5 linked regions of the Oryzias latipes genome follow. The protein of the gene in region 3 purifies or fractionates together with the protein of the main gene of each other region. This does not show direct contact. Links are inferred from orthologs where the notes say so. Each region holds a gene or a part of one and is shown on either strand. Other genes may lie near its edges.

Evidence for each region.
Region 1: the proteins of derl1 (region 3) and rnf5 purify together in Homo sapiens (affinity purification with western blotting; 4 studies listed by BioGRID and IntAct, with this or other methods). This does not show direct contact. The link is inferred for Oryzias latipes from reciprocal best matches to the Homo sapiens genes DERL1 and RNF5.
Region 2: the proteins of derl1 (region 3) and amfr purify together in Homo sapiens (affinity purification with western blotting; 4 studies listed by BioGRID, with this or other methods). This does not show direct contact. The link is inferred for Oryzias latipes from reciprocal best matches to the Homo sapiens genes DERL1 and AMFR.
Region 4: the proteins of derl1 (region 3) and faf2 purify together in Homo sapiens (affinity purification with western blotting; 4 studies listed by BioGRID and IntAct, with this or other methods). This does not show direct contact. The link is inferred for Oryzias latipes from reciprocal best matches to the Homo sapiens genes DERL1 and FAF2.
Region 5: the proteins of derl1 (region 3) and tmem129 purify together in Homo sapiens (affinity purification with western blotting; 3 studies listed by BioGRID). This does not show direct contact. The link is inferred for Oryzias latipes from reciprocal best matches to the Homo sapiens genes DERL1 and TMEM129.

Annotation. Positions count from the first base shown.
Region 1 is NC_019869.2:5,398,261-5,403,107, forward strand, and holds the end of rnf5 (E3 ubiquitin-protein ligase RNF5), read left to right. Parts: intron 1-37; coding exon 38-149; intron 150-1,006; coding exon 1,007-1,116; 3' UTR 1,117-2,517; downstream 2,518-4,847. Other genes in the region: slc44a4 (choline transporter-like protein 4), read right to left, coding at 3,464-3,564, 3,637-3,721, 3,815-3,909. UniProt on the Homo sapiens protein: Membrane-bound E3 ubiquitin-protein ligase that mediates ubiquitination of target proteins. May function together with E2 ubiquitin-conjugating enzymes UBE2D1/UBCH5A and UBE2D2/UBC4.
Region 2 is NC_019861.2:26,262,702-26,269,457, reverse strand, and holds the start of amfr (E3 ubiquitin-protein ligase AMFR), read left to right. Parts: upstream 1-2,557; 5' UTR 2,558-2,732; intron 2,733-3,217; 5' UTR 3,218-3,235; coding exon 3,236-3,490; intron 3,491-6,061; coding exon 6,062-6,154; intron 6,155-6,276; coding exon 6,277-6,441; intron 6,442-6,756. Other genes in the region: leukotriene B4 receptor 1, read right to left, coding at 1-224. UniProt on the Homo sapiens protein: E3 ubiquitin-protein ligase that mediates the polyubiquitination of lysine and cysteine residues on target proteins, such as CD3D, CYP3A4, CFTR, INSIG1, SOAT2/ACAT2 and APOB for proteasomal degradation.
Region 3 is NC_019874.2:1,273,329-1,279,875, forward strand, and holds derl1 (derlin-1), read left to right. Parts: upstream 1-2,103; 5' UTR 2,104-2,287; coding exon 2,288-2,440; intron 2,441-3,536; coding exon 3,537-3,648; intron 3,649-3,718; coding exon 3,719-3,783; intron 3,784-4,150; coding exon 4,151-4,177; intron 4,178-4,266; coding exon 4,267-4,362; intron 4,363-4,449; coding exon 4,450-4,502; intron 4,503-4,590; coding exon 4,591-4,701; intron 4,702-5,008; coding exon 5,009-5,153; 3' UTR 5,154-5,596; downstream 5,597-6,547. UniProt on the Homo sapiens protein: Functional component of endoplasmic reticulum-associated degradation (ERAD) for misfolded lumenal proteins. Forms homotetramers which encircle a large channel traversing the endoplasmic reticulum (ER) membrane.
Region 4 is NC_019868.2:20,361,525-20,366,459, reverse strand, and holds the end of faf2 (FAS-associated factor 2), read left to right. Parts: intron 1-50; coding exon 51-142; intron 143-585; coding exon 586-763; intron 764-1,720; coding exon 1,721-1,892; intron 1,893-1,975; coding exon 1,976-2,119; intron 2,120-2,353; coding exon 2,354-2,536; 3' UTR 2,537-3,452; downstream 3,453-4,935. UniProt on the Homo sapiens protein: Plays an important role in endoplasmic reticulum-associated degradation (ERAD) that mediates ubiquitin-dependent degradation of misfolded endoplasmic reticulum proteins.
Region 5 is NC_019868.2:4,545,310-4,551,983, reverse strand, and holds the start of tmem129 (E3 ubiquitin-protein ligase TM129), read left to right. Parts: upstream 1-2,654; 5' UTR 2,655-2,684; coding exon 2,685-2,910; intron 2,911-3,238; coding exon 3,239-3,297; intron 3,298-3,414; coding exon 3,415-3,672; intron 3,673-4,355; coding exon 4,356-4,516; intron 4,517-5,243; coding exon 5,244-5,403; intron 5,404-5,479; coding exon 5,480-5,552; intron 5,553-6,037; coding exon 6,038-6,222; 3' UTR 6,223-6,674. Other genes in the region: igbp1 (immunoglobulin-binding protein 1), read right to left, coding at 1,986-2,468.

The sequences.
Region 1 (4,847 bases), on a different chromosome or scaffold from region 3:
TGTAGCTTTTGACTGTCGGGTTTGTCTTTGCGCTCAGATGTTCCAGGGCTTCGGGGATACCGGTTTCCACATGTCGTTTGGCATCGGCGCTTTCCCCTTCGGCTTTTTCACGACAGTCTTCAACGCCAACGACCCCTTCCACAGAGCAGGTACACAGCGGTCCCCTAATCAAAGAGGAAAAAAAAACCACAACCAACCTTTTATCCAGTTTTATTTCGAATCTGATTCTGAAGGAAGTTTTATTTTGAAAAACGACCAGTTTCTCTCCACCAGTCTCTCTGTCTCATGTCGAAAATGCATCAGCTACTTTGTTAAAGCGGCCGCACCGACTGCTAAATTAAAACCTTCAAGCTAGCAAAGTTAACGAAAAAGAAAGTTATGTGGAAAGATCCAGAGAGGAAACTGAAGAGCCTTCCCCTTCAAAATAAAATAAATCTGCTTTCAACAGACAACAACCAGGAAGGAGTCTTTACTCCAAATATGGATTTATTGTGACAGTTGGTCCCACAGACCATAATAATAATGCAGAATAATCGTCAACCAGCTGTCTAATGTTATAAGGATGCTGCTAATAAAGTTCTTCAAACAGTGGATTCTCGTTAAGATTATATTTTTTTAAAAATCCAGTTTTCACGATTGTTTTTTGTATTTTTCCGTCTCATCTTAAAAGTCAGAAGAGGCTGAAGTTGGCGTCTTCTGCTTTTATGGTCACGGCTTAAACTTTATTTCACATTTTAATGGTTCCTACAGGAAATCAAGTGAACAAATCAATATTTTACAGAGAATGAAGATAAACTTCTGTCTCAAAAGTTCAGAGAAACAAAAAAACTCAAATCAGACGCCCATGTCGGCCTCGTACAGGACGGTCTGCAGAAATGTCTGAAAAAGTTTGGGGATTCATTACATTAAATGTGGAATTTTTCTTGCCTAAAATAAATCCAAATTTAGATTTTTTTTAAACTCACTACTTCAATTTGAAAGTCTTTTCTTTCTTGTTTACCTTTAGACCAGTATGCAGGTGATCACCAAGGTAACGGGAACGGCAACAACAGCTGGCAGGACTCGCTCTTCCTGTTCGTGGCCATCTTCTTCTTCTTCTGGCTGCTGAGCGTGTGACTGACCTGGAGAGGAGGTGGTTTTACCGAAATCGGAAACGGGGAGGGAGGAGTGCAGCAACACACATGAACACACACACACACACCTGGACAGGTTCCTCCTCCCGTAGTCACGTCGCCGCAGCACAAGCCCCCGCCTGCTCGTCGTTTTTTTTATGCCTGGCGACGTGGAACCCCAGAAATCGGTCGTGGCGGTCGTCTGGGCTCACAAAACATTTTAGGAAGTGGAAATGTTTGGGTTTGGCGTTCAGATTCAGTATTACATAATCCGAATGATCAGATGGATGAGGTCACTTCATTCATCAGATTACCAACTCCTCTTTATTTAGAGGAGGGGGGGGCTCTGTGGGCAGATGTGGATTGGCCATGGGGGGTGGGGGGTTAGGAGTGCAGCCAAGTTCCTGTTCAGTCTCCATGGGAGCCTCCTCCAAACATTTGTCTTAACCCGTTTCTCCTGGTGGAGGTCGCCTGAAGGCGGAGCCGCCCTGAAGGCGGAGCCGACCTTCCTCTTCAGACTAACTAAAAGTCAGAGCTTCGCCTCCCACGAATTGCATAACCGACTTGGCCAGAACGCCACGACCGGCAGAGAGAATCCTCAGAAACCACTATAGATATTTCCGAGATTTGAGTGACGGCTCGCTCGACCGGCACCGCCCCCTTTTCCAAAGCTACAGGATTGCGAAACACTTGTGGATTTTTGTGAGTGCGTATGTGTGCATACAGTATATATTTGTATATATAAATATTGTACATGCTGTGACTGGATGGGAGAGCCCTGGAGAAGATGTGCGACTGTGAAGTGTTCAAACTGTCTACTTCCTGGAATACTCTCGTCATACGTGTTACTCGGGTACTTAAATGTCTAACCTGTAAATTCTGATGAAAGATTAAAAGTTTGACTGCCTTTCACTCTAAAGGTGAATTCCTGCTCATTCAAAGGGGATGTGGGTCACATGCGTAGCCAGGAATGGACTATTTGCTGGTTTCCTCTCTAGATGCCATTGCTCTGAGTGCTGACTGCCATCTACAGACCAAACCAGCCCATGAAGTCCTTAGATGTTTGTGACTCTAGTCGTGCTTTGAAAACCAGATGTTTTAGTCAGATCTTCCATTGTTCTCCATGAATGCCTCCAGGGGACCCTGCAGCTCCACCGTCCAGACTCATCGTCCCTGAAATGTGCAGATCTGGAGATCTTTCACCTGGAAGTTGGACTGAAAACACTTTTCATTTCATGTCCCGCTGCGGGACGGACACAAACAATCTGCTTGGACTCTGATGTTTCTGATGGGTTTAGCTGCGTTTGATAGGAAAGTGGTTTAACGTGACGCTAAATTACCGTGTTGGCTTAAGGACTGTTGTACAAAACCCAATGGTCTCAGATTAAAACTTGAATTAACCAAAGTCATTTTGTCTTTTTTTTTCCAAACGTTTGATCACAAAACACAATTGAAATTTGATGAAACAGCAAGCAGGAGCTGCCCGACGTCCCCCTTTTAAACCTGCCATTCGGAATTTTAAAAAAAGCCTTTTTTTTAAATAGTGACTTTTGTTTGTTTTATCTCCATAGCAACTATTTTACTTTTTAGTTGTCCATAAAATGTAAACTTGTTCACGCATTGCCACAAAAAGGCAGCATTGCCGTAGGCCCAGTACCCATCCCATAATAATGTCAAAACTCCCTTTGAACATCTCCAACACGTGTTTTGGTTTCATTAGTGGATCTTAAAACATTTTTGAGAGATTTTTGCCCATTCAGGTTATGTTTCTGATCCTCATGCTGTGATGTTATCGTTTTTTCGAGGAAGGTTACCTTGTCCCAAACTCATCTCTCTGGGTCAGAGTTGTGTACAAATTTTGGTTTTTGAGTTTGGGACGGGGGCGACATTTTTGGTCAGACGTACAGTAAGAAAGAAGAAATGCAAAAACAGTATGGTGCTGCAGTCAGAACAATAAAGCTTTAAGAATTAAAACTTTATTCACAAATTTCCAAATGAAACATGTAAACCTTTTATAAATTACATTTTTAAAAATATATTAAAAAACTAAATTTTTTAACAAAACTGAGCTGCTAAAGCTTTGATTACATGTCAGTCTATATCTGTTATATTTATCTCAGTTAAATTTCAGTGAATATTTAAAAAAAAAAGTTTTTTTCTCTAATGAAATTATTTTTTTCACGTTTACAAGAATATTGATGCACATGCAACAAGACGAAATGTGCAAAATTAGCAAATCCATTTCAACATCTTTACAGTAGACTAGTGTTAAAAAGGTAAAAGCTACAAAATCTTCCATAAAAAGTGGTTTCTGTGTTTTATCGTGACCTTCAGTTCTTCTGTCGTCTCTTCTATTTGGCGGCCTTGTTGGATTTATTGAGAATCTTCATGAGGCTTTTGGACATATAGTAAGGCTTCTGGATGGATCCATCGTTACGCTCCAGGTCCTCCACTGGAAGAGCCACAGAACTTGTTAACCATGTGAATCGACAGAGAAACGTCACGGAAAAAAGGAAAACCTTACGGAAGCAGAGGAAGAGCGTGTCGACACACATGCTGTAGACGCTGAAGAAGCCGTGAGCTACCAGGTAGCTCCCGAACACCACCGTCTGAGGAACAACCAGGAAAATGGAGTTATTGTAATTTTGTTTAGGAAAAAAAAAAAAGTAATCGGAATCTGAAATGAACATTTAGTGTCTTACAATAATTGGCATCCAGTAGTAGTTGAGGTTTTGGGAGCTGAACGAGTTGCCTGGAGCTTGAATGCGTCCAGAAAAAAAGAAGAAGGCCAAAACGCCTGAAGGAAAAGAAGAGGACGTTTGTCTGAGAAAGGATTTCTTTTTGTCTGATACTTTAGTCCTTATAAAAATGTTATATTTAAAAAAATACTTTTATTCTGAAAATGCATTAAATAAAAAAAACAGGTCAGGACTAAGGAATGAGCAAAAAAGGGTGTTGAGCGGCGTTGTGTGACCCGCACGCTGTCCCCTTTGACCCCGTCTGAGCAGCTGCTACACCCCGCCCCTCCCCTTCTTCGTTGAAAAAAATAAATGGCAGATTTTCTGTTTGTTTTATCTCCATAGCAACCATTAATTCTTTTGGTCCCCTGGTAATGACGAACGGGTCTTTGTCACATTTAGAAGAATCGGCAAAAGTATAGTTTTGAGTTTCCTTGGCAACAGAGGTGTTTTGTTACCCACGCCCTTATTCCATTCCTTATTTATGTTCATGTCGCAGGTCTTTTAGTTTCGTTCAGCTTGAGCCAACGATTTAAATCTGACAGTAGCTTCGAAATGATGCTCGAGGAGTCAGAAGATCCCTGAACTTGTAGCTGGAACTACAGGTCTTTGTTTTTTGTTTTTTTTAATATTCAAGATGGCGGTCCACAAAACTGCATTTTTGACATAACCCTGGCCTGATGTGTGGGCAATTTCGAGAAGATCACCTAAATGAAAAGTTGTTTTATTTACTTATTGTGGTTAAAATGCAAAAATCCCCAGGTTTGTGTTTGAATTCCTTCCCTACTCACTACATAGTGCGTTGGTCATTTTGTAGTGCTGTCCAAATCTACAATCACAAAATCTTGTGCCTTAGAAATTTCCCAGAAGTCTCTGTGAAAAACCAGTGTGCATTGATGCTCACTAGAATATAGACCACAATGCATTGCGTCTGAACAAGTTTTGCCAAAAAAAAAAAGTATTTTTTTGATAAACCATCAACATTTTTATCATCAAA
Region 2 (6,756 bases), on a different chromosome or scaffold from region 3:
AGAGGCAGGGTGATGAGGACCACGGTGTCTGCAACAGCAAGATGCAAGATGAGCATCACCGTGTGTGAACGCTTCTTCATGGATCTCAGGATGGTCCAAATCACAAACAGGTTTCCTGGAACTCCGATCAAAAAAGACAGGCCCAGAATGACGCATGCCAGTGCAGTCCCGGTGCCATACTCCTCAGGAGCCTCTGTGGGGGATTCCACAGTGAAGGGATTCATCCTCCAAAAATGAATTCTACTTCTAACGTTCTCTTCTGTCTGACTAAGAAATGATTTAAACGTCTCCAAAAACAATACTCCACTTCCCTTTTTGTGAAAACTGAACAGAAACCATGTATTTTCAAGGACCCAATTATCACATGGCTACTGTTGTTGCATTTGCAATGTTGTGTGTTTTAGTAAAATTGCTTAGACATATTTTTTCTTGTTTTTTTTCTCCTGTTTTTTTGTTGTTGTACCAACCACATCCTGTGGGGAAAAAATGTCTCTTATCTAACAGAAATGATTGCTGTTAAATGAAGATCCAGATCTTGAGAAGGAGACTGCTGGTTTTGGCCACTGATTCAGGATTCCAGGCAAAAGCTGAAAAAGAAAAGGAGGAAAAGACATCCATATTATGACTTTGTCTATGCTTATATCTCACTAACTTGTTTCATAATCATAACTTAGAATGTATAAAATCGTTGATTTTTCAAGGCAACGAGAACATACAGTGCTTTTTCTTTGATCACCGTGTCCCGTGAGATGTGCCGATCAATAGCAAAAAAGCTGAAATGTGAGTGAAAGTGCAATCTCCCATGGCACTGACAGATCTAGAAACACTCAAGTAGAAGAAAACAGATTACCTGAAGTTACACTTCACCAAAAGTCCAGCTCAGGGATGAAAGAAAATCCAAAGCAAAGTAACTTCTTTTTTTTTTCTGAATTTGAATCTGTTACAACACTCCCATAAATGTTAACTTTGGACTGCAACTTCATTTCTGTCCTCTTTTAGAGTAGCTAATAATTAACATCTGGCTATGAAGTTTCAAGTTTATTCTATCTTATCTGTCGTTACCCTTCATCATGATCTAGTTCCTAATTTTTGATTTTACAAAATATATAAATAAATATTAATATAAAATATATGTTAATGAAGAGTGAAAGCTGGAACATGAAAGCAATCGGTACCTGGAATTCTGTCATGACTTTATTATAAAACAGCTTTTTTTCTTCTTCTTCACTCAACAATTGGTACGTTTGTTTTATTACACAGTTTGTTCAATATTAATAGATATTACCTGACTCTGAAGTTTGTATTCGTATGCACGAATTTCTGTTTAGGTAGATAGTTTTATTTATTTTTATTGTAAAAGGAAAAAAAGGAAATGTGTTTGTTACAGGATGTATTGTTATAATGCATCTTAAAAAAAAAAACTTACTGTGTTAAATTTTATTTACTATCCTTTTAAATTGAGTTACTTTATAATAAACTTGTGATAAATGTGCAAAATCTTCTCTCCCAGCACCAAAAACATTATTCTAAAATTAAATCTTTGAGTGTTTGAAGTTTGAATAAACAAAAAATATGAGCAATTTGGCAATTTATTTTTATATTGACAAACCCCATTGACGCCATGAATTAAACTACTTTGACTCTAAACGTACTTTTTTTTTAGCTGGAAATAGTGATTACGCTGTCTGTGGGTTATTGGGTTTATAATATGTGGAAGAGCTAAACACATCCACAATAGCCTTGGACCTCTTCTGGTCACACACTGCTTTGGGATGCCATCACATTAGTCTACCATGGGCTGGCAGCCTGGTTGTGCTGGTACTACAACAGCCCCAAGCTGATCCTTCAAATTGTCAAAACAAAACATCAAGGAATCAAAAAGGACATCAGCTGCAATAACCAAAGCTAGCATTCCAAACGTATTCAATTACAGTAAAGGCCACCTGAAGGTTTCACAAATGTAAAACTGAGGCAATGACGTCATACATTTAAGACGTGTGTCATTGGTTTAAAAAATTGGGCAAATTCTTTATTGATGCAACTCAATCTGCTCTGCTGCCCATAAAAAAAAAAAAACTTTTTAAAAATACAAATGTATGGTTCTAATATATGATCATTTTTTAAAGGGCTGGTGTTATATCGAATTATCTACCAAACACTAATTTCCTAACATTGTGAAGTGAGTTTTTATGTATAAATACATATTTATTACTTTGAAAAAAATCTATCTAATCTGATTGGTCTCATCATTACATGCATAAACGTCTACCCTGCTGTCATTAGGGGTGAATTTCCAAAGAAACGACGTCTCCTGCTCTCCCGAATGAGTCGCGACTTTTCTTCTTTGTTCTAGAAACTACCCGTTCCTGTCTTCGTGGTTTATAGCACATTTTAAATAACACATTACAAGTGGATTCGTGCAGCTGATAGCAGCAAAGGTAAATGATATTTTAAGTGTGTGAAGTGAGTAGGTAGCAGCGAAATCGTGTGAAATCGTGTGAAATATGATTTGAATGGCGATGCCTTTAAACAGCCACGATGACGTAGTTTCCCTGCGCAACCAAGAAGAAGCAGCTCGCGAGTCAGCCGTTCAGCCTGTCGCTCTGCTCGGTGGCGTAAACATGACGATGTTGTCGTCCTCTATGATCTTCTTCGTGCAGCTGCACTAAAACTCGGTCCAGTGATTAGGACATTACCCGGGATATTGGGTCAAACGTTGTCTGTAAGGAACTGTAAGTGGAGTCTAGACACAAAGCCGCAGTTCGGCGATTGGTTTTAGCTTCGCAGCAAAGATTGGCTAACAAACTAGCTAGTATTAGGTAACGTTAGCTAGGTGAATTACTAACACTGGACATGTTAACTCACTTTAATTATTCTATTTGAATATTTTTGGTTTGATTATTTATTAAAATACACCCAAAGACAAAAAACCGAACGAACTTGATATATTTTTTTTAATTAAAGAAGCTTATGGGGGTTAGCCACTTCCTGCGTTAGTCTGTATTAGCATTTTATTGCTTTAGATTTTATATTCATATAATTTTACTAATGATTATTATTTTAAACTTGCCAGTATTGGTGAATTGGTATCGCCCTCAAATTGCAAACCCCATTGATTACATAATCTGTTTAGCTGTTTAAAGTCAGGCCAACATTGGCTAATCCAGATGTGTGTTGTTTGTTAACAGACTTTTTTTTCTTCCTTTTTTCGTTGAAGACTACTGCACCCACTGCAATGCCTCTAATGTTTCTGGAGAGGTTTCCGTGGCCCAGTTTGCAGACTTACACAGTATTGAGTGTGGCTTTACTCGCTGGGAGCATCTTCAGTGCCTACCCTACGGTGACAGACCCCGGCTTTGGGGCCTTGGAACCGGACGATACACCTGCTCCCTCCCACGTCGATCTTGAACACCTAAGCAATGCTGTCAGTAACTCAGAACTGGCAACAACGATCCTGTGGTATCTTGTGACCGACAGTCTGTTTGTGTGGGTAAGTTTCACTCACTTTAAAACGTTAGACTAATGTAGGGGTGTGACAATTCATTTTAACAATGGTCTGATTCATATCCTAATTTGTGGTTTCTTAATACTCAATATTGATTCATTTTTAATGGTCTGATATGATTCGATTCACTGACCTAAAATGAGTCGAGGACTAGGGAACACAAGCCACAATTTTCTAAGGTCCAGTGACGAAAGTTGGTGACCACAAATGGTAGAGCTTCCAATTCTGAACACAGAAATAAATGAAATGGCCCAATAGACCTCAAATTAAGTTATTATTATATTACGTCTTGCTGATCACCTTTGTTTTGCGGAAAACAATGGGAAAACCCGGTAATCATGTATAGATATATCAAGTTTTTTTTTTTTTTTAATGTCTCTTTCGATGCCACAGCTTCTCTATCTGTGCTCTAAACACCATCAATCTGTCACAGGACATTATTCAAGGGATTCAGCAATGTTGAATATTTTTCAGAAGATCATTCAATGTATACTATTGCATACTTTACCTCTGCTGAGTGCGGTTTATTATTCTGTATTAGGGACTTGAACCTGTGACCGTTTGTTACCGCGCTCTTTAACATTGTTTGTCACGATGCGACTTGTGAGACTTGGGTCCGCAACGACGAACCTCGCGCGGTTCATCAAGGTTCCTTGATGATGTGTTGGCGGGTGGTTTTTGGGACCTAATTTATCTTGTGCCTTTTCACTATCCATGACTCATGATCCAAAGCCATGAGAAAGCTGCCATTTTCTCACAAATGTCCGCTAAGTCCACTCTACCTTGTTTCAAATCAAAATCAAAGTATAAGCTATCCCAGTACACACAGTGAAGGGTATTTCATCGCTGTACATTTTCCAACGCGGAAACAAAGTTCTTCAACGGTGAAGCAAACATGCGCAAACATATGATGGCCGAGAGCTGCAAGACACATTTACATTTGAGATACAACCATTAACAAATCCTGGAACAAACAAACAAATCATGAAGCACTAAAAACAATTTTGGAACAAATGAACAAATACTGAAACACAAAAGCAAATCACTGAAGAAATTACAGAGTCCTGAAACCCAAAAGCAAATCCGGGTATAAATTACCAAATACCAAATCAAAAAAACAATCTCGGTACAAACGAACAAATGCAGAAACACAACAAGGAAAGTGGAGAAACGGCTTCTAACATCCTGAATCCCGGAAGTGACGTAATACATAACTAATTATGTATGATTTTTTACATTTCTTTATCACTGTTTTTTTTAAAGTGGACATTTTCAATACATGAAACAATCCAAAAGCATTTTTTTAAATTTTATTACTACAATACAAATTACAACAATGTGTTAGCAAGGTAAAGTTTTTGCTGCACTTCCGGTAATAATGGTATTCCCTTTCCATTAAGCTTGCACTAGTGCAAAACACGACTTCAGAAGAAGGAGAAAAAAATGAACGAAAGCGAGCAGCTGCCAACGGAAAGGGAATACCATTACTACCAGATGTGACGCAAAAACTTTACCTTACTAAACATTTTTTTATTTTGTATTGTAGTAACACAATTTAAAAAATGCTTTTGGAATGTTTCGTGTAATTAAAATGTCCACATAAAGAAAACAGTAATAAATAACTTTAAAAAAATCATAGTCAATTGGTTTTATATTATGTCTTTTCTGTTAGAAGCCGTGACCTGCTTTTGTTGTTGTGTTTCTGGATTTGGTCAATTGTAACAGGGTTGTTTTTTGTAATTCTGTATTTGGTCATTTCCCCCCGGATCAGCTGTTGTGTTTCAGGACTCAGTAATTTGTTCCATGATTTGGTGTTGTATTTCGTGATTTGATGTTGTGTTTCAGTATTTCTTTGTTTGTACCGGGATTTGTTGTTGTTGTATCTTAAATGTAAATGTGTCTTACACCTCTCGGCCACAGTACAAACGTCATGCACAGTGACACCCTTTGCAGTACCTGCTAGGACATCTTTAGGCAAAAATTCAACCAGTGTGACTCAGAGATGAATACCTGGGTACTGAATGGTACAGGGGAAGTTACACCAGAAATTGTACATTAAATATGTGTACAAACATACAAGAAAACAAGATCCAATGGCAATTTTAGTTTCATGAAGTTCAGCCCACTGTTGTTTTCCCACATGAAAATAATCCAAACTGAACATTATTAAAACAGTCTAGCACACTCTATGGTCACATATCTTTGCAAAATTCCAAGTTTTTCCACACATTGGACTGTAATGATGACTTGATCATTTTTTGCTGTCATTGTGTGTGTTGTCCGCTGTGATGCACTTTATCGGTTTTACGTTTTAGTAAAATAAACCTACCGTGTCTTAATCCAAATGGTATTTTCCAATACCGATTGTAATCAATTAATTTCATTCTGAAATGATTTTAAAAAACTATAAGTTGATATGATTCATAACTTCCCTCTGACAGAAGGATCTGGTTGAATCATAGGAATATTCATCAATGAATTGATTAATGGTTACACTCCTACTAATATAACGAGTGCATCTACCAAAACTCACTGTTACTTTATACCATTTCCTAGGTGTTGGTGAATACATTCTGCTGCTCCTTGATGCTAATTGCAAAAATGATTCAGTATGTGGTCTTTGGACCTCTACGAGTCAGTGAGAAGCAGGTGAGTTTTTAATTGTCTTAAATTCAACTAATGGGTTTAGTTTCTTTAAAAGTGTTTTAGCTGACATTCAACAGACACTAATACAAATAATTATATTGTCCTTCTTTTCTCATCCCCTGCAGCATCTCAAAGACAAATTTTGGAACTTTATCTTCTACAAATTCATTTTCATCTTTGGAGTCTTGAATGTGCAAACCGTTGAGGAGGTGGTCATGTGGTGCTTGTGGTTCTCAGCTCTGGTTTTTCTCCATCTCATGGTGCAGCTTTGCAAAGACCGCTTTGAATATGTAAGTATGGGGAGCGAACATTTTAATTTCAACTCTTCCTGGCTGTTGTTGTTTTTGTGGAGGCATTTAATAATTTGTTCTAAATATTTTTTATATATTTATCTAATTGCTGCCATGCAATTAAACTCAAGATGTTAGCTTGACAATTATTTAACAAAAAAGCAGAATTTGAACTGCAAGAGATTTTTATGGAAACTTTTGTTTCATTTTTTTATTTAGTTTTAGATATATGGAGTTCATCAACTTCTGAATTAAGAGTGGTCAAAAGACTGCATGTTTTTGATTGGCAGATGTTTACCAAGAAAGAACAAAGTG
Region 3 (6,547 bases):
GTGATTTGTTGAATGGTTTGCACTTCAGGGCCACCGTAGATACCAGATTCTGTGGAAAGCTACACCGCTAAAGACGAGCTTTAGCTGGTATTTTTGTTAGAACTGAGCGACTTTACGAGCTAAATCGGGACAAGGAAGTGAAGACTTTAACCACTTCTGATTGGTCAGACTGATGACATGTGATTAAGCCTTCAAGAATGATTGGTGGAGACAGGTAAAGGGGCGGGACTTTTCCTAAATACAGCCGGAGCTGCAGCTGAATCGCGCTGCCGTCATTCTTATCAAAATGTCTTTAATAAAATAAAATAAACACAAAGAAAAAGTATTTTACGATCTTTTATATTCCTAACTCCTCAGTGTTTTATCAGGGCCTGTTTGGATGAACACAGAGCTGGAATCCTGGAGATGGGAAATGTTTTTAGATCAGTTAATGAGGGCAATTTCACACGGCACACTTGACCATCTCCCACGGCACACTAGTGTGCCGCGGCACACTGGTTGAAAAACACTGTCATAGAGCCATCACAGTCATCTCCTGTGGTCCTCATAGATAAACCGGATGGATTCTGGGTTATTTTAACCTTGGAAAAACAAAGAAAATAATTCATAAATTGGGTTAATATGTAACCACTATAACCAAAAAATTTAATATTGCTCTCAAAGAACCCAATGATATATCCCAACATGCATAACCCGAGAATTGGGTTAAAAAAATGGCCCAAGAGTTTTAAAAGTGACACTGCAGCAGGAAAACTGTTTGTTTGACTCATCATTATCAATTTATTCATTACTAGAGCACCTTCCACCACCATCCAAGAAGGCCCAACCACCATTCACAATGTCAAGGTAAAAAATAATACAATGACAATGGAATGATGAAACAAGATAAACAATGAAACAAGAATGAAATGAATAAATGAAGGAAAATAATCATTTCTAGTTCTTGATTTCATTTTTCTTTCTTTTTGTGGACTGTCACAGCACACGGATGGCTGTTGGTGGGTGAAACTTTAAAAATGCAAAGTTAGAACGTCTGCTCAGTTTTTGCAGCCTAAAGGCCCGTTCACACCGGGACGAATTTCGCCGGCGATTTTCGCCCACGTTTAACGCCTCGTGACTAAACAAAGGGCACCAGTGAGAGTGTGCACACCGACGCGAAAAAACGCCACGCGTCAAAGCGTCAAAAAAAAAAACGCCTCGGGTTTGTTTGTTTTTTTCGACGCGTCGCGTCGAAATCTATTCGACCAATGAAAATGGCGCTTTTGCACTCGTGTCTGGAGCTTCTGAAGTTACAGTAAAACACAACTTGGGGGCGCTCAAACACAAAACTGCCTTGCTGAGCACACATACCAGCGAAGAAGATAGACGCCAAGTAGCGTCTACACTGCCGCGAAGAAATAATGACGGACATTCTAAAATATCCCCGAACCAAGCACCAGTTGGAGCTACTGGTGCTTGAAATATTCATGTTTTCTTTTTATTATTCTGACTAGCGCGTAAATACTTGCTCTCTTCTTCTGAGTGAAAAGCGACTTTAAGAAGCGCAGCGCCACCTTGTGTACAGGAGTATTTCTGTTTAAATTAAGCGCCATCTAATGTCAGGGAAGGAAATTGCATGTTCGCTCGGCTCATCGTCAGCGAAAATCGCCTGGGTGTGAACACAAAAAACGTGGTGAAAAACGCTGCCGAATAACGCCTGGCGAATATTCGTCCCGGTGTGTACGGGCCTTCAGGGGCCACACTGGAAATATGCAAATTTCACAGTAAGAGCTGAAATCTTAAAAGTAAAAATGAAAAATACTGCTTTCAACTAAACACTTGTTATTGGTGGTTCAACCTTTACAAGGCCTACTTTAAAAAAAAGTTTTGAATATTTATAAGTTTATCTTTGTCTGCAAGACAAAATCTGGCCAAGACATGACCAGATACTTTCAAAAACAAGATTAAAATAAACCTTTCCCCTTGTAAGTTGACGGACCATTTTAAATCGAATTGTTGTTGTTATTTTGGCTGCATAATTATTAAGAACATGCATTTGAAAAATTTCAAATGCATTTTCACAAAAGCAATATGTATGTCCGTTGAGATTTTATTTTGAAAGGTCACGGCGGAAGTGAGGGTCTCTCACGTAAGAGTTGCTACCGGTGCTTAGCCACGTCATGTAAACTTAGCAGTGGATGGGTTGTGGTGTAAGACAGCAGCCTCGTCGTTTTTAAGTTAGTTATTAAAATTCCCCAGTGAGAAAGCTTTTTTCAGAACTTGAAGTCATCAGAAGTCTTATGGAAGGATGTCGGACATCGGGGACTGGTTCAGGAGCATCCCGTTCATCACCCGGTCTTGGTTTGCTGCTTCCATAGCTGTTCCTTTTATCGGGAAGCTAGGCTTGATCGATTTCAGAAACCTCTTACTCTTCCCAGAGCTGGTTTTCAGCAGATTCCATGTAAGTGTTTCGTCAAATGGATCCCTTTGCACGCGTTGTTGTATTACTTCGTTAATTTTGTGTTTCAAAGGGCGTTTTACTGTGTTTTGGATGTCAGTTAGTTAGCAGATGGCTAACAGGCGCAGGCCTCCATTAGAGCGCAGCCAATCAGAGGCCGCGACGTTGGAGGGGAGATCTTCCGGAAATAGTGCTCTGAATACGGAATGAACAAACGGCAAACATTTTTATAAATTATAAATGCAAATAAGTAGGTTTTGTTTTCTGTTCAAGTGACAATCAACAGTTTAGTGTCGCATTTGGTACCGTAAAAGTTATTTATTTGAATGCAATACTGACATACTCCACTAGAGAGAGACAAAATTTCAAAATAAAGGACTTTAACATCTCAGGTAAGTTCAAATAACTGTTTCTGTTGGCTTTAAGTTTTTTTTAAAGCAGTTTAAAACAAATTTATTCAGATGTTAAGAAAAGAGAAGATATCTAAATGTAATATTAGATACTGTTCACGGCAAAATAACCAAATCTGCTCTTTCAAATTTGTTTTTCAAATGTACAAAGTATGTAAGAATACATTTTTTGGTAGTTTTATTTTTGGCTAAAACAAAATTTACCGCCAATTCTTTTAATTAAGCTTTTCCTGTGTCTTTTAAACTAGCATTAACTTTCAAAATTGCTTAGAGGCTCTTTTGTTTAAGGCAAAAAAGATTCTCAGAAACACACAAACATGGGTAACGTTGCCAAAAGTATTCACCTACCCATCCAAACAGTTTAATTCATTGACTTTCATGTCTGTGTGAATGCTGAGACCTTTAGTGCCCAGAGGTCACCAACGTTTTTCAGCCCTACAGACCTCCAAACCTCATGTGGGCTTCAAGTTTTCATGGCCAAGCAGCTAAAAGCAGCACATCAGAGTACGATGCAGTGTTGTGAAGCCCCATCAGACTTTAGAGAAGTGGAGTCAGGGTTCTGGCTTCTCTAGGTGTAGTTCTAGGTTGTTCTTCAGGAGCTGTACTGTCCTGCTTGGTTAAAATGAAGTGAACTCACAAGTGCTGCAGCAAACCTATATACTTAAAATCCCTTCTGCTTTATGTTTCAGATCTGGAGACCGATCACAGCCACCTTTTATTTTCCAATAACCCCCAATACCGGCTTTCTTTACCTTGTTAACCTGTACTTCCTTTATCATTACTCCACTCGGCTGGAGACAGGTGAGCTTTCTGCTTTGCTGTTTTCCTTTTCCTACGTCCTCATCATTAATCATGTCCTTTTCCGTGGTAGGGGCCTTTGATGGCAGACCTGCAGACTACGTGTTCATGCTTCTCTTCAACTGGATCTGCATTGTTGTATCCTTTGACCACCATTCAAAGCTGAGTCATAAATTACAACCTACGGCTCCGTCCGCCCCTGCTTCACTCAGCGGCACCGCCTGCCTCTCCTTCGTCCTTCGTTCCTGGACCCGGCTCCTCTTCCTCTGTCAAGGTGGCCCTGTGCCAGCAGACCGGTGTCAGTCCACCCTGCAGAACAGAGGTCACATGCAGAAGCTCAGTGCTGCTCACAGCTCCTATATTTACTGATGTCTTGGGCTTTTATCAAACTTTCTGTTTGGTTCTGCTGGTCATTTTCTGAATTTGTGTTGAGCTTTTAGAGTCAGAGTGAGGCTTACAGCATGTTTTATCCAGATGAACTTGTTTTTCTTGACTGCTTCTGCAGATAACTGGGTTGCTCATGAACATGCAGGTGAGGATCCTCTGCAGCTGGCATGATGTTTCTGTCACGTCTGCATGGCGTGTTCAGAGGTTCTGACCGCGTTTCACGTCTTGTTTCAGCTGCTCATGATCCCGCTCATCATGTCGGTTCTGTACGTCTGGGCTCAGTTCAACAAAGACACCATTGTTTCCTTCTGGTTTGGAACGCGGTTTAAGGTGGGTGGGTCGAGAAGATGCTTTCATGATCACAGTGACAACAAACCGTGATGAAGGCGATAAACAACCATCACTGCTCTCTTTCAGGCCTATTATCTACCCTGGGTCATCCTGGCCTTCAACTTCATTATTGGAGGCTCGTGAGTAAAGATGTCCCTCTGAAGTGTAGAGTGCTGTGTTCCAGCAGGACCCCTCCAACCCCTCCCCCTTATGTGTCCCTGTCTGCAGTTTTATGAACGAACTGACGGGAAACCTGGTGGGCCACCTCTTCTTCTTCCTCATGTTCAAATACCCCATGGATCTAGGGGGACGCTCTTTTCTGTCGACGCCGGAGTTCTTGTAAGTTTTAAAGCGACAGAAGTTGGCGTTTTCTTACACACCAACGTGGTTCTGATGTCACACGCCGGCACAACCGCATCCAAACGTTTCCAAAGATGGATGATGATGTGCATTACAAATGAAAGAGTTTTGCTGAAGCTCAGTGGAGAAAGTGTGTGTTAGCCTTGCAGCCCAGACTCTTCCGGGGGGGGGGGGGCTGTTCCTCACTCTGGTACAAATGAATGGGAGGACCCGCTCGTTGTCCTGGGTGGGAGCGGCTGGTGCAGGTTTTTAGAGGTACATCTGACAGCGCTCTCTTTTTTTCCAGGTATCGGTTCTTCCCCAACAGGAGAGGAGGCGTGTCGGGCTTCGGAGCTCCCCCCAGCAGACGACCAGCTGCCCAGGACCCCGCTGGCGGAGGGGCGGGGGGCCGACACAACTGGGGGCAGGGCTTTCGTCTGGGGGAAGATTGAGGGAGTCCTGAACTGTCAGCAACAAACGGCTGGGCGGCCGATGTTTTGGACTAAACCGTTTCTCACCCCCTTGTTTTATTTCAAGAAAATCAAATGATCAACTTTAAATTGACTTTAAGTCAGGTTTAGGCTAAAAAAGACCAGGAAGTGCAGCAGGACTCTGTTCTCCGAGTGAAGATGCTGCAGCAGCGTGGAGCAGAATGTTTAACGCCACTCTGCTCCTGCCTGTCAGTCAGGAAGACGTGTTGTTTTTCTCTCTCTGACGCCATATTTGATTTCATTAGAATTTCTTCATGCACTGGGAGGCCGTCCTGCTTCAGAGCGCCATCTCTGGGTCGGTTTTCACGGATGTGAAATGATGACACGGCTGGCTTTTCTCCTGTTGTAAACAGATGGATGGATCCTCGCTCTTTATTGTAAATAAAACTTTTTTTGAAAGATGAGGACTTGTCCTTCTGAAAGTCTTCATTTCATTTAAGGGCATTTGCTATTCTCAAGCCTTTTAGAGGAAACAATATCCATGTATAATATCTGATAATATATCTCGTATGGCACACAAAAGAATGCATTATTTATTAAATATTAGTTATTTTTCTGAGCTGTTTTCCAAACGGAAGTAAGATGACTCGATCTCTTTTTCTCTGCGTGGGTACCGCCCATTTCCTGACGTCATCTTACAGCCGGCCTTGGCAGTGTCACGAAAACTAACATCCAAACTTCTGCAGAGATGGATGTGCATGTTGTTCACATAAATGAAAGTATTTCAGCCGGGCAGGGTTAGAGGAGGAATGTGTGAATGGATCAAATACTGATCTGGGGTTCTTTTCATGAGAAATCAACATTATAATACACGTAATCAGAGTAAATAACCTCTGGGTTGGGGACGGGACTGTTGGCGTGGAGTAAGCCTGCCCCTTTTTCCCATCATTCATCTGTTTTCATTCTCTCCCGCTAGCTTATCGCCCCTCACAGCCCCAACCTAACTGGGGTGAATGGGCTAAATGGCAGGAAATGTTGAAACTACAGAACAGACCAAAAGTTTGGACACTCATTCAAAAGCCTTCTCATTCAAAGAGTTTTCTTTATTTTCATGACTATGAAAATTGTAGATTCACACTGAAGGCATCAAAACTGTGGATTAACTCATCTGGAATTATATACATAACAAAAAAGTCTCAAACAACTGAAAATATGTCATATTGTAGGTTCTTCATAGTAGCCACCTTTTGCTTTGATGACTGCTTTGCTCACTCTTGGCATTCTCTGGATGACCTTCTAGAGGTAGTCACCTGAAATGGTCTTCCAACAGTCTTGAAGGAGTTCCCAGAATGCTTAGCACTTGTTGGCCCTTTTGCCTTCACTCTGCGGTCCAGCTCACCCCAAACCATCTGGAT
Region 4 (4,935 bases), on a different chromosome or scaffold from region 3:
ATCCAGACTAAAGAAGTATTTGTTTTGTTATCTACTGTTTCCCTTTTTAGTTCGACGTTATGTACAGAAGAAGTCATAACCTTCCTCAACACACAAATGCTGTTTTGGGCATGTTCAACCAGCAAGCCTGAAGGCTACAGAGGTTTGTCCTTTTTATGCCGTCAGTCAAATACTTTTGTAAAATGTCACTCGTTGTTCTGAACATCAAGTTCATGTTTGATAAAATAAGGTTCTTTCTAATGCAATTTATCCATATTTAATTACCAAGACAGGGTTATTTTTAATAAGGAAATCTGCATCATTGACATTCATATTTTAGTACAAAGTAATTTTTACTCTGGTGTTGTAAAATAATGTTTCTAAAGGTACTGTTTTATATAATAATTTCAAAGATGCTGCTTTTTATCTTAAATATTTTTAATTTATAAAAAAATATAGCTTATTAAATCTGCATAGCCATTTAACTCAGACCTTGGAGTGGCACAAATATATCCAAAAGGAAAATGTTTTATTATGAATTAGTAGCATCCCGCTTCTGCTCCAACAAAAGTACTTGAGTGTCTGGTTTGAATGTTGTGGTTGAAGTGTCCCAAGCTTTGCGGGAGAACACCTATCCATTCCTGGCCATGATCATGCTCAAGGACCGCAGGATGACTGTGGTGGGCAGACTGGAGGGTCTCATTCAGCCAGAAGACTTCATCAATCAGCTCACCTTCATCATGGATGCCAACCAAACATATCTGATGTCAGAGCGCCTTGAACGGTGTGTGAAACGGGATCTTTTTTAATATCTTAACAGGAAATCGATTTTGTTTATATTTGATCTTAAAAATTAAATTGATCACTAGTGTATCAACGATCTGAAACAAATATGTGGGTTAAAGCCTTTTTCTTATTTTATTTAATGTGCATTAAGCACATTAAACTCATTGTAAAATGTGTGATGCTCATGTGAGTCAAAGCGGTGCAGACAGGCACTGCACACTAATGCACAGCCACTAAACAACAGTTGGAGTTGAGATGACGTTTTAGTTGCAACATGGACATTTATAGAGAGTTGGATGACGTTTCTGTTGAAGCTCAATGTTCTAAAAGAAATGGTTGCTTTTATTATAGAAAGTTGTGGTGTAGATCTTCTGGGTTAAAACCACCACATGGTATCGGTTAATGCTACCAAAATAGACGTGTACTGTGAAATTCATTTTCATTTAACACGATATGAAAAAGAAAATTTGAGAATTAGAGAAAATGTGAGATTTTTCATTCAGTTTCTGTGCAAAAAGTTAACAAAGAGGGTCAGGTGGTCCTTAACTAGACCCATAAGTCCCCGCATATCGCTCGATATAGGGGGACTGCAACAGTTATGGTTTTTGTTTTTTATGGTTTTATATAAGTTCTTTTTCTCTTTTTTAACACATTTCTGAACACTTTTGGGTTAGAGTAAGTTGTATAATTTCTGCTCCTGGCTGATGGTGTCAGGTGGCATCGTGTCTGAAGCCAGGTCTCTCCTCTTGTGAGTTAGACATCACGTTCAAATCATCATCAAAGTCGTTTTATAATGGTCTTATCGTTGCTTTAAATACCTATATACTCCGTGTTTAATAAGCATTTACTGGGATAATAAACAACACATATTAATTTTTAATTAATTAATTTAATTAATTTAATTAATTTTTAATTAATTTTATTAATTAACTTAAATAAATATTTTGGTTTATAGTGAGGAGAGAAACCAGACCCAAGTTTTGAGGCAGCAGCAAGACGAGGCTTATCTCGTCTCCCTCCGTGCCGACCAGGAAAAGGAGAGAAAGAAAAGGGAGGAGCTGGAGCAGCGAAGGCAAGAGGAAGAGAAGGTCCGGCAGAGTGCTCTTGCTGAGGAGCGGAGACGGAGGGTGACTATTGCTTTCTTTAGATAAGAACAATGTTCTCGCCATGTAAAACGTTCTCAATTAAATGGCACGCTTTTGGATTTCAGAACCTGGAGGAGGAGAAGGAGAGGAAGTCTGAATGTCTTCCATTGGAGCCTCCTGCAGATGATCCAGAAAGTGTCAAAATAGTGTTCAAGCTGCCCAATGACACACGGGTGGAACGGCGATTCCTGTTTGGCCAATCTCTGACGGTCAGTAACGGTTGAAATCAGATTTCTGTTTGGTGAATTCTAAAATGCATTAAGATTTTCTTCTTTGGTTTAACTAACTTTGATTTTTAAAAAGGTTTTAAACAAAGTTATGTTAGAGATAGCTTAAGTAAAACTCTAAAAAGCATTGAGTTTTTCCCCAATAAATAATGTTTTTCCAGAAGCACCTTACACGTACGCTGATGCATCTATGATTGACTGATTTATCTTCCACAGGTAATACACGACTTCCTGTTCTCTTTGAAAGAAACGCCAGAGAAGTTTCAGATAGTCACAAACTTCCCTCGTCGAGTCTTGCCCTGCCTCCCCACTGAAGAACAACCCAACCCCCCCTCACTAAAAGAGGCTGGGCTCAGCCGCTCGGAGGTACTTTTTGTTCAAGACCTTACGGACGATTGATAGATGGTACCACCTCCCTCTGTGGAAACCGATTTCTCCTCTGACAGCCACTCATCTTCCTCCCCTCCTCTTTTTCATATTGTGTTAAATGGCCATTATGCATAAGGGATCATTGAGCTTGACCTGGAGAGTTGAACCACCCCTGCATTCAGTGCTTGTTTGGTTGACAGGGTTCCCAATAGCCTGGAAAGTCTTGAATTTTTTCAAATAAATATATCTCTTGGAAGTCCTTACCCGAGCTCATCTTTGTTTCTGTGCAGAAAGCTTCTTTATCATCCGTACTAGATACCGGTTAACTCTTGTTCTTCCTTCTCATTCAGTGTTGCAGCATTGAACTAATCAGCTGCTGAAGTAGCAGCAGAGCCAACTCCCATGAGCCACCATGTGTTATTCCTCATTAACAGGCTGCTGCATCGCATACATTTCAATGGTTAAATGAAAGTTGTTTCTGTTCATCCACATTGACACCTTTTTGTCCAAAGTTTCCATTTATTATTGTTGATTAAGAAACATTTAAGTAAACGATTTTTATGATGAAAGAAACTCTTCCAGGAGGACGGTGGACACGATTTAAAGATTTGGGAACCCTGTTTCAATGAGCCATTACCTGTACATAAGTTATGTATTTAAAGTTTCCAAATTGACCTTATTTTATTTTTGACTTCTGTGTCATAAAATGACCAAAACGCAGGTTTGTCACTATAAAGCAGACTGCCTCAAGCTCAAGAAGTTCTAACGTAAAATATTTAACACAAAAGCCACAGTTTTTCCATGTGGCTTTATCTAGTATAGTTCAAGTCTGCCCATAGTGTGCCTGTGGTTTCTCATAGATGCCTGTTTTGCCTGTAACATCTGAATGGGCTCTTGTAAAGTTGTACTTTTCCAAATATAAATTAAACATTTAAACAAAAAAAAAGCTTGGTTATGATTCAGATTTTTGTGTGTGTGTAATATGTCGTTTAGATGAGGGCAAAGTCAAATGACACGAGCGGTATTGGTATACATCATACATTTATTAGTGAACAACCCTCTCAAATCAGCCACAATAATTAAAAAAAATATGATTGCACTACTTGGTAAAGCATAACTAGCAACTTTAATTTAAAAAAAGTACAAATCTTAAAAATTTCAAACAGTATACAGATGTATATATAATACACTAACCAGTTATGTTAAATGCTACAAACAATGATTCCGATGGAATGAAAAAATGATAACAAAGAACCATTTCCTATATATAATATATATTAGTTGTTTTCTCCCCCCCACCCCACCCCCAATACATTGAGAAAAGAAAAAAAACATATGAGGTAACTTTAAATGTGCAAGTACCAAAGCAAAAAAAAAAAAAAAAAAAAAAATCAGTCTAACACAGAACACATGCCCCTGGCTCTGCTGGGTGGGTGGGCGGGGGGTTAGTCTGGTGTTCAGGCGAGGACCCCTGAAGGCCGAGGAGAGTCCACGATAAAACCACCGTCCCACCACAGTGAAAGGAACTCATTGGTAAACAAGAAATGGCATCTACAGCGCAGTCAATCACCAATCCTAAATAAACCTTTAGCTGCTTATTGGAAAAGTTTTGCACCACACAAACGGTGATTTTATTAAGTCTTAACAGAAAGACTACAAGACTCTATTTTCATTTTCCACGCAAAAATTAGCTCATTAACTAGGCCTTAATGGAAAGTTCTTTATATTTAACAGGGTAGCTGGACATTGTCAAATATTTATTCCAAAAGAATAGTGCTAACATTAACATGAATTAAGGTATCTATATGTGAACAATACATTTTAAGATATTGATACACTCAGAGCAAGAGCCTGATAGGCAGGTACAGTACTACACTGAAATAAGTATAACAACACTTTTTTTCCTGTTTTTTTTTCTTCATTTTTTTTCTCTTAAATCCCTTAAACTATATTGATTTTCACTGACATTGTTTAGGGGTATTGATATAACATGCTTCAAGAATACATGAGATCCATGGCAAACTATTGCATTCACGCAAGTGAGATTTCCATACCTAAAAGCAGAACATCTAGCACCTTTTCACTATGGCTTTTGGATCAACTACAGTAGTTTTTCAGAGCATGTCATTTTCAGTCGTCAGGGCAAGAACAGTAACACAACGTATGTAAGAATTTCTGGATTCAAGAATATTTTTTTTTCTTTTATTTCCCCCTCTTTATAAAATGAAGTCAGCACAATAAAATCTTGTAGTCATTCAGTTCTATTACAAATGTGTGCAGTACAATGCATGGCAGTTATTCAGCTGAGCGGTAAGATCCAAACCCCCAGAACCCAAAGCAAACTAAAGCTAAAAATCAGTTGGGATCTGGTCGACAAGCATGCATATTGTGCACCGTTAAATATGTTTCCCACCAGATTTGGAGATTTT
Region 5 (6,674 bases), on a different chromosome or scaffold from region 3:
GGGTGCAAGAGCTGTCCTCTATAGAGCAGTGTTTTTCAACCTTTTTGGAGCCGCGGCACACTTTAACCTTGACAAAAATCCCGCGGCACACCAGCATCCCAAAACAAAACAAAAAAGCAGAAACTCAGTCTGTTTTGATCTAAAACAGTTATAGCTGCAGCTAAATCGCGTTACCGTCATTCTTATCAAAATGTCTTTAATAGAATCAAATAAACACAAAGAAAAAAGTATTTTATGATCGTTTATATTCCTAACTACTCAGTGTTTTATCAGGACCTGTTTGGATGAACAAAGAGCTGATTTCCTGGAGAGGGGAAATGTTTTTAGATCAGTAAATGAAGGCAATTTTCCACGGCACACTTGACCATCTCCCACGGCACACTAGTGTGCCGCGGCACACTGGTTGAAAAACACTGCTCTAGACCAGCGGTCCCCAACCTTTATTGCGCCACGGACCGGTTCGATGTCTGGCAAAATTCTCACGGACCGGTTTGTTATATGTGGCGGACACACGCTGCAGCAACGCTGCAATAAAGGCAGAGACACGTGATAAGACGTACTCTGCCCTTTCATTTTGACACGCTAAACATTGTACATCGCACAGGTGTCATCATCCTCTCCCCTTCCCACACTCATGGTGCTAAAAAGAAGTAAACACAACAGGAAGAAATAACTAAGGGTGGAACAACGTAACTGCCAGATGAAAGGACACGTAGGCAAAAAGAAACATCCGTGCTTAACCCTATTTTGACCAAAGCAGGCAAAGGGGATTGATTTAATTCCCTGTGATGCCAGCTCCGACAGTAACCCCTGCACCCTGAGGAACTCCGACAGCAGACCAAACGATCACATGACGGACACTACAGTACAACAAAGTAATATGATATGACCTGCATGAAAACTGTGGTATTTTCTAAACATAACAATAAACACGAATTATGACGTGAGCAACGTCCTCTCTGCCCGCAACACTCCCTGGTCGCTATTATTATAACAAAAATAAGTGCATGGAAAATCCGACTCACCACAACAATGCTGAATGGTTGGAGGGAATCTCCCGTTGGGATAAATCCGTATATAAAGTAGGACTCCTGATACTGTCTAATAAATGTAGCTTTCTTTTTTTGGAAATGGAAGGCTCCTCTTCTGTCTCCTGGCTGGGCCTTTTCCACTTGGCAAAGAAACTTTCCAAAGATGTTTGTTTTTTATTCATTTTGGTTAAGAGTAAAATAAAATAAAAAAACCCAGGATCTAGCAAAATGAGTAAAAAAAAAACATTACTGGAAAGTTTCTTTGCCAAAGGGAAAAGGCCCAGCCAGGAGACAGAAGAGGAGCCTTCCACTTCCAACAAAAGAAAGCTACATTACAGACAGTACTTCTTTTTGCACCATGAGTGAGGGAAGGGGAGAGGATGATGACACCTGTGCGATGCACAATGACATGCATGTCAAAATAAAAGCTCAATGATCATCTTGTCCTTTTTCATCGTTGCTACATCTTAAAGACTCCGTGAAAATGTTGTCTGACGTCATACCGGTCCGTGGGTTAAGTTGAAAACTGCTGCTCTAGAGTGTGTGTGTGGGTGTGTGTGTGTGTGTGTGTCAGCAATGGTCAGACAGACTGATCTAACTAATGTCTAATCTAGCGTCCAAAATGTTTGCACAGACTTAAGTAGGTATTTAAATGGTCTATAAAACGTCCCAGAAGGACTGTATGACAGTGTTATGATGGTTTTAGAGCAGCTGATAACGGAATTTGACCAATCACAATCAACAAATTGTACAGACAGAAAGTGCTGGAAGAAATTTGAGGACAAAACGTTCCTTGTTTTTTTGCTGTATGTCACCTTTGTTCTGAATCAATAATAAAAAAAAATTGAGGACAAAGCCATGGGGGCCGGTGGGAATTTCAAAGTGGGCGCATTTGGCCCACGGGCCGGACTTTGGACATGCGTGGTTATAAAACGGAGGCGCCTCTCTGCTTACCGGCGCTCCTGGGCCATCGCGTCCGGGCTCAGACTCTGCTTCTTCTGGACTGTCGGCCTCGCCGGGTTCGGGCAGGTCGGCTTTGCAGAGGCCGTAGTCTTTACACCTCCGGAGGAAGTCCAGAAAGAGCTCCCTGGCGGAGCAGAGGTGCTGCAGCCGCCGGGCACGGTCGCTCAGCTTCAGCTGCAGCGCTCCGAGCAGCGCGGGCAGCAGCAGGAACCTGAGGTCGGCCGTGGCCACTTCCTCCAGGTCCTCGTTGCGGCTGAAGAGCTCCAGCTGCGCCACCATGGCCGCCGCCTCCTCCAGCGCGCTGACACCGCGCCTCACCCGGGCCTGCACGCTGCTGGAGTTGAGGGGCTCGTTCGTGTTGTCCACCTCCTCGTAGATCTTCCAACCGAGCTCCAACAGCTCCGGCAGCTTTAGATTCTTCGAATCTGGGTCCACTGGAGGTCCGGCTACGCTGCTGGGCCCGCTGTCCGCCATCTTTGAGCGTCCTCTTCTCTGACGTCTGATTGCTTTGGCGGGAAGGACCAATCACTGTCCAGGGCCGCACCGCGCACAATTGTGACGTCAACCGTTTGTTTGTTTGTTTACTGCTTTACAACAGCTGACCTGCAGGGGGCGGGAGTGCGTCTCCTGTTTACCGGCAGAGGAAGAGGGGCAGGATGCGGAAGCGCCGGTAGGCGTTCTCGGACCCGGATGTTCTGGTCCAGTTCGATCATGGAAAGCCCAGAACTGTCCTTCACGCTGGCTTACGTGGTCCTCGCGTTCTGCTTCGTCTTCACCCCGAACGAGTTCCGCGCGGCCGGGCTCACGGTCCAGAACGTGTTTGCGTCATGGCTCGGGAGCGAGGACGTCGGCTTCATCCAGTACCACGTAAAGAGGACGAGCGTGACCGCGCTTGTGCACTCAGCACTGCCTCTGGGTCAGTCTCTCTCTCAAACACACTCATGACCAGAAACGCGTGAATCACACACACATGCACTTTGTAAAGGACTCCTAGAGCTTAAAGAAACCCGTCTTATCTTGAACTTGGAGTCTGAACTAGCAAAGCAGAACCTTCAGAACCTTTCCTCTGTTCTCCTGTTCTCTGCAGACAAAGATGGTCAGAACTTCAGGTCACTTCTCTGCGCTTTGGTGTCTTCTTTTGGGCACAAGCACAATAAACCTCCCCTTCACTGAATCTACTTTTTGTTTCTATTCTCCCCCCTCCTCACAGGCCTCTCATGATGTTCCTGCTGTCTTCTCTGCAGGTTATTACCTGGGCATGTGTGTGGCAGCTCCAGAGAAGAACCTGGCGCTCATCCATCAGGTTGGTTCTGATTCCACGCCTTTGCTTCACATGTCACTTGACTGAGACTGGGCTGCTCCCTGCTGCTGCAGAGGTTCTGTTCTGATGGTTCTGATGGAGTTGTGGGGGTCCCCGCAGGTGAGCGGCAGCTGGAGGATCTTCCTGTTGCTCTCTCTGTGCCTGCACTTCCTCAGCTTGGCGTTGGTCATCTACTGGTCCCGCCGTCACTGGCACAACCACCCCATCAGCCGGGCGCTGCAGGCCCATGCGCGTGCCCCCAACTCCAGATGGGGCGCCATGGCAAGTAGCATCAACACAGAGTTCAGGCGGATAGACAAGTTTGCCACTGGCGTTCCTGGAGCCAGCGTCATCGTGACGGACAGCTGGGTGTTGAAGGTGAGCGCTCCACTTCAGGTCTGCAGAGCCGCGTGCTGAAAGCATGGAGCTCTGGAGGACTTCTCGTGAAGAAGAAAGCTTGGAAAGCTGCAGTCACGCTGAGTTCTGGTTGGATATTTTGTTTAGTTTGTCCTCTTCATCCAGCCCTTTGATTTGCACATTTGGTGGTTACATCTTCTTCAGCTGAGTTCCAATGAGAAAGAAACATTAATCATTGGTCCAGAGAAGAAGATCCCTCTGATCAGACAACACAGTGATTCTCTTGGCTCGTCTGTCCAGTCCAGCATCTGGATGCAGAAGTTTATTTTAAAACATTTGAGCTCCTTCAACAAACCGTCTTGTGCTCTTAGATCCTGAGGTTGTCCCTCTAAAAAGTTCTCGAATCTCAGTGCATCAAATGCTCCAAGTGATGGCTCCTAAACCCTGGAATGCACTGCCTCTGTCCTGTCTAACTGAGGCTTTTAAAATCCACCTAAAGAGGACTTTATTTCAGCAGGAATGGCATTTTTCTATTGATGAAATTTCCCAATTCTATATTTCATCTTTTAAACAAATGATATGTTCATTCGACTTGTATTGTTAAGCACTTTGGGATTTTTTTCAGATACGCTTGATATACTCAGACTGGTGGTCTCTGACCTGTATTAACACACGGATGGTTCACGGTTCTGCTTTTTCTCCAGGTGACCACCTACCACGTCCATGTGGCCCTGCAGAGCGAGTGTCATGTGACCGTGACGCAGTCCAGACGGCACCAACTGAGTCCTGATTCTGGCTCCCCTGTGGAGATCCTGACCCTGAGGGTGGACAGCATCAACCCTGCTGTCAAAGCCTTCACCATCAGGTACAGCTGGGTGCTCAAACCCTGATCTCAGGTCAGCTGGTCGTGGTGGATCTGCAGAGGCTGCACTCTGCAGGCTGCAGCTGATTGTTTCAGTGGTTGAAAGTAATAAGCAGGAGAACGGATGCACAAAAGAAGAAAGGAAAACCAGCTTGGTTGGTTTATACAAACTTTTAACTGCCCGAAATGCAAAAAAACACAAAAGTTTTTCAGAATGATGTCCTTGTTTCCACAGTATAACAAAAGTCTGATCCTTTATTTTATATTTATTTTCCATCAATACCTGATATGTGACTTTATCCACTTTGAAAACAGATGAACAATTTTAAAGATTCACTCTGTTTTTGACATGTTTTTGTAGCGTTTGTCTGAAAATTGAATACACTAACATTAACCCTACATATCTTTGTGTTTCTTGATTCAAATTATTGTGAATCAGGAACAGACCCCCACAGAGCCCCCACCCTTTACCCTGTCACTTCAACCTCCTCCCCTCAACAAGACGAATCAGAGCAGAGGACATAAGAGTCTCTGAGATTGAAGGGCATGGTTCATTTTTGGCCCCAAGCCCTGGTTGAGGTTCTGAGCTAGTCCACCAGGGTTTGTTTTGTCTGCAGCTGAGCAGGGAACCTCAGAGGGAGGCTCTGCTTCGCCATGGCCACTTTCAGCTCAAAGTTCTTCCTCTTGACAGAGCAGGAGCAAACAGTTCAAGTCCCTTTTGTGTTCTCAGGGTCAACTCCTCTGATTATGCAGACTTCAGGGAGAAGCTCCATGCTCCTATCAGAGTTTCTCCCAATGTGGTGATTCACCAAACTATAAGTGAGCTCTTCCTGGAGACCTTCAGAGCTCAGGTGGAACTTAACCAGGTCTACAGGCTTCCAGCAGGACAGGTATGCAGGTATAAAAAAAAAAGGCTCTAGGTGAACGCTAGAACTGTGAGTGACACCTGTTCTCTTTGATCTTTAGGAGCTGGAATCCTGCATCGGCTGCATGCAGGTTCCTGCCGGAATCAAATTGGTCAGGCTGTGCCAGACTGCAGGTGAGTGCATGCACCAGTGTGCCTGTGCAGTTAAAACCAGAGCCCAGAATGCTTCTGTGATCATATTGACCAGTAGATGACCTTGGCGTGTACTTGTACAGCGCTTTCTAGCTTCCCCACAGTCTCAAAGCGCTTTACAGTCACAAACCCATTGGCTCATTCACACACATTCACACTCTGGTGGCGCCTCCACTGCCGAACACTGGCCCCAACCTTCCACCAGAGGCAAGGTGGGGTTCACTGTCTTGCCCAGGGACACTTCCACACATGGAAGGGCGGGACTCGAACCTGCAATCCGCTGCACCACGGCCGTCCCCGTATGGAACCCGTATGGGCTCTGCTTCTATTCACTGGGAATTTGAATCCTGGACCAGAACTACGGTTGTAGCTGTGCTGTAGTCCTGGTTCTGGACCTTTGGGGCAGGGTTGGTCCTGGCAGTCAGTGCCTGTGACACTGTGTGACTGTGTTTTTTAATGCATTTCAGGACCGGATCAGGAGGTCGAGTGCCAGCAGTGCTTCTGCAGGCCCATGTGGTGCCTGATGTGTTTGGGCCGGTGGTTCGCCAGCCGCCAAGACCAGCAGAGACCCGAGACCTGGCTGTCCAGCAAAGTCCCCTGCCCAACCTGTAGATCCAAGTTCTGCATTCTGGACATTTGTATGGTCCATTAATAGCTGAACCTGTCACTCAGGGGAGTGGATCGGGCCCGTTCTGATGATGGTCCAAGTGACGTGAATCTGTTTTTGGAGTTTGAGCTTCAACTGCCGCATTCTGACAAAGACAATTAGAACTTCCTGACCGCTGTGGTACCACTGTGACTTAGCTTGTACGATTCTGATCTTCTCCATCAGTGAGTTTCTGGACTGACCGACCTGAAGGAACTAAAATGTTCAGGAACTCTTTGGACTGGAGGTTCCGACCCGAGCATTGTGAGGATTCTCCATCCAGAGTCGTGCATGTGAGCACAAAGACTGCAATTGTAATTTATGACTTCAGAACCTGACAATTGGATCAAGTTCTGATCCAAACAGGCTGATTACCCCTTCTCAGACAGGTTCCTTTGTCACGTACAGCTCCATCAGAACCAGAGCTGCTGCCATCAGCGCTTATAAGGCTGTCAGGT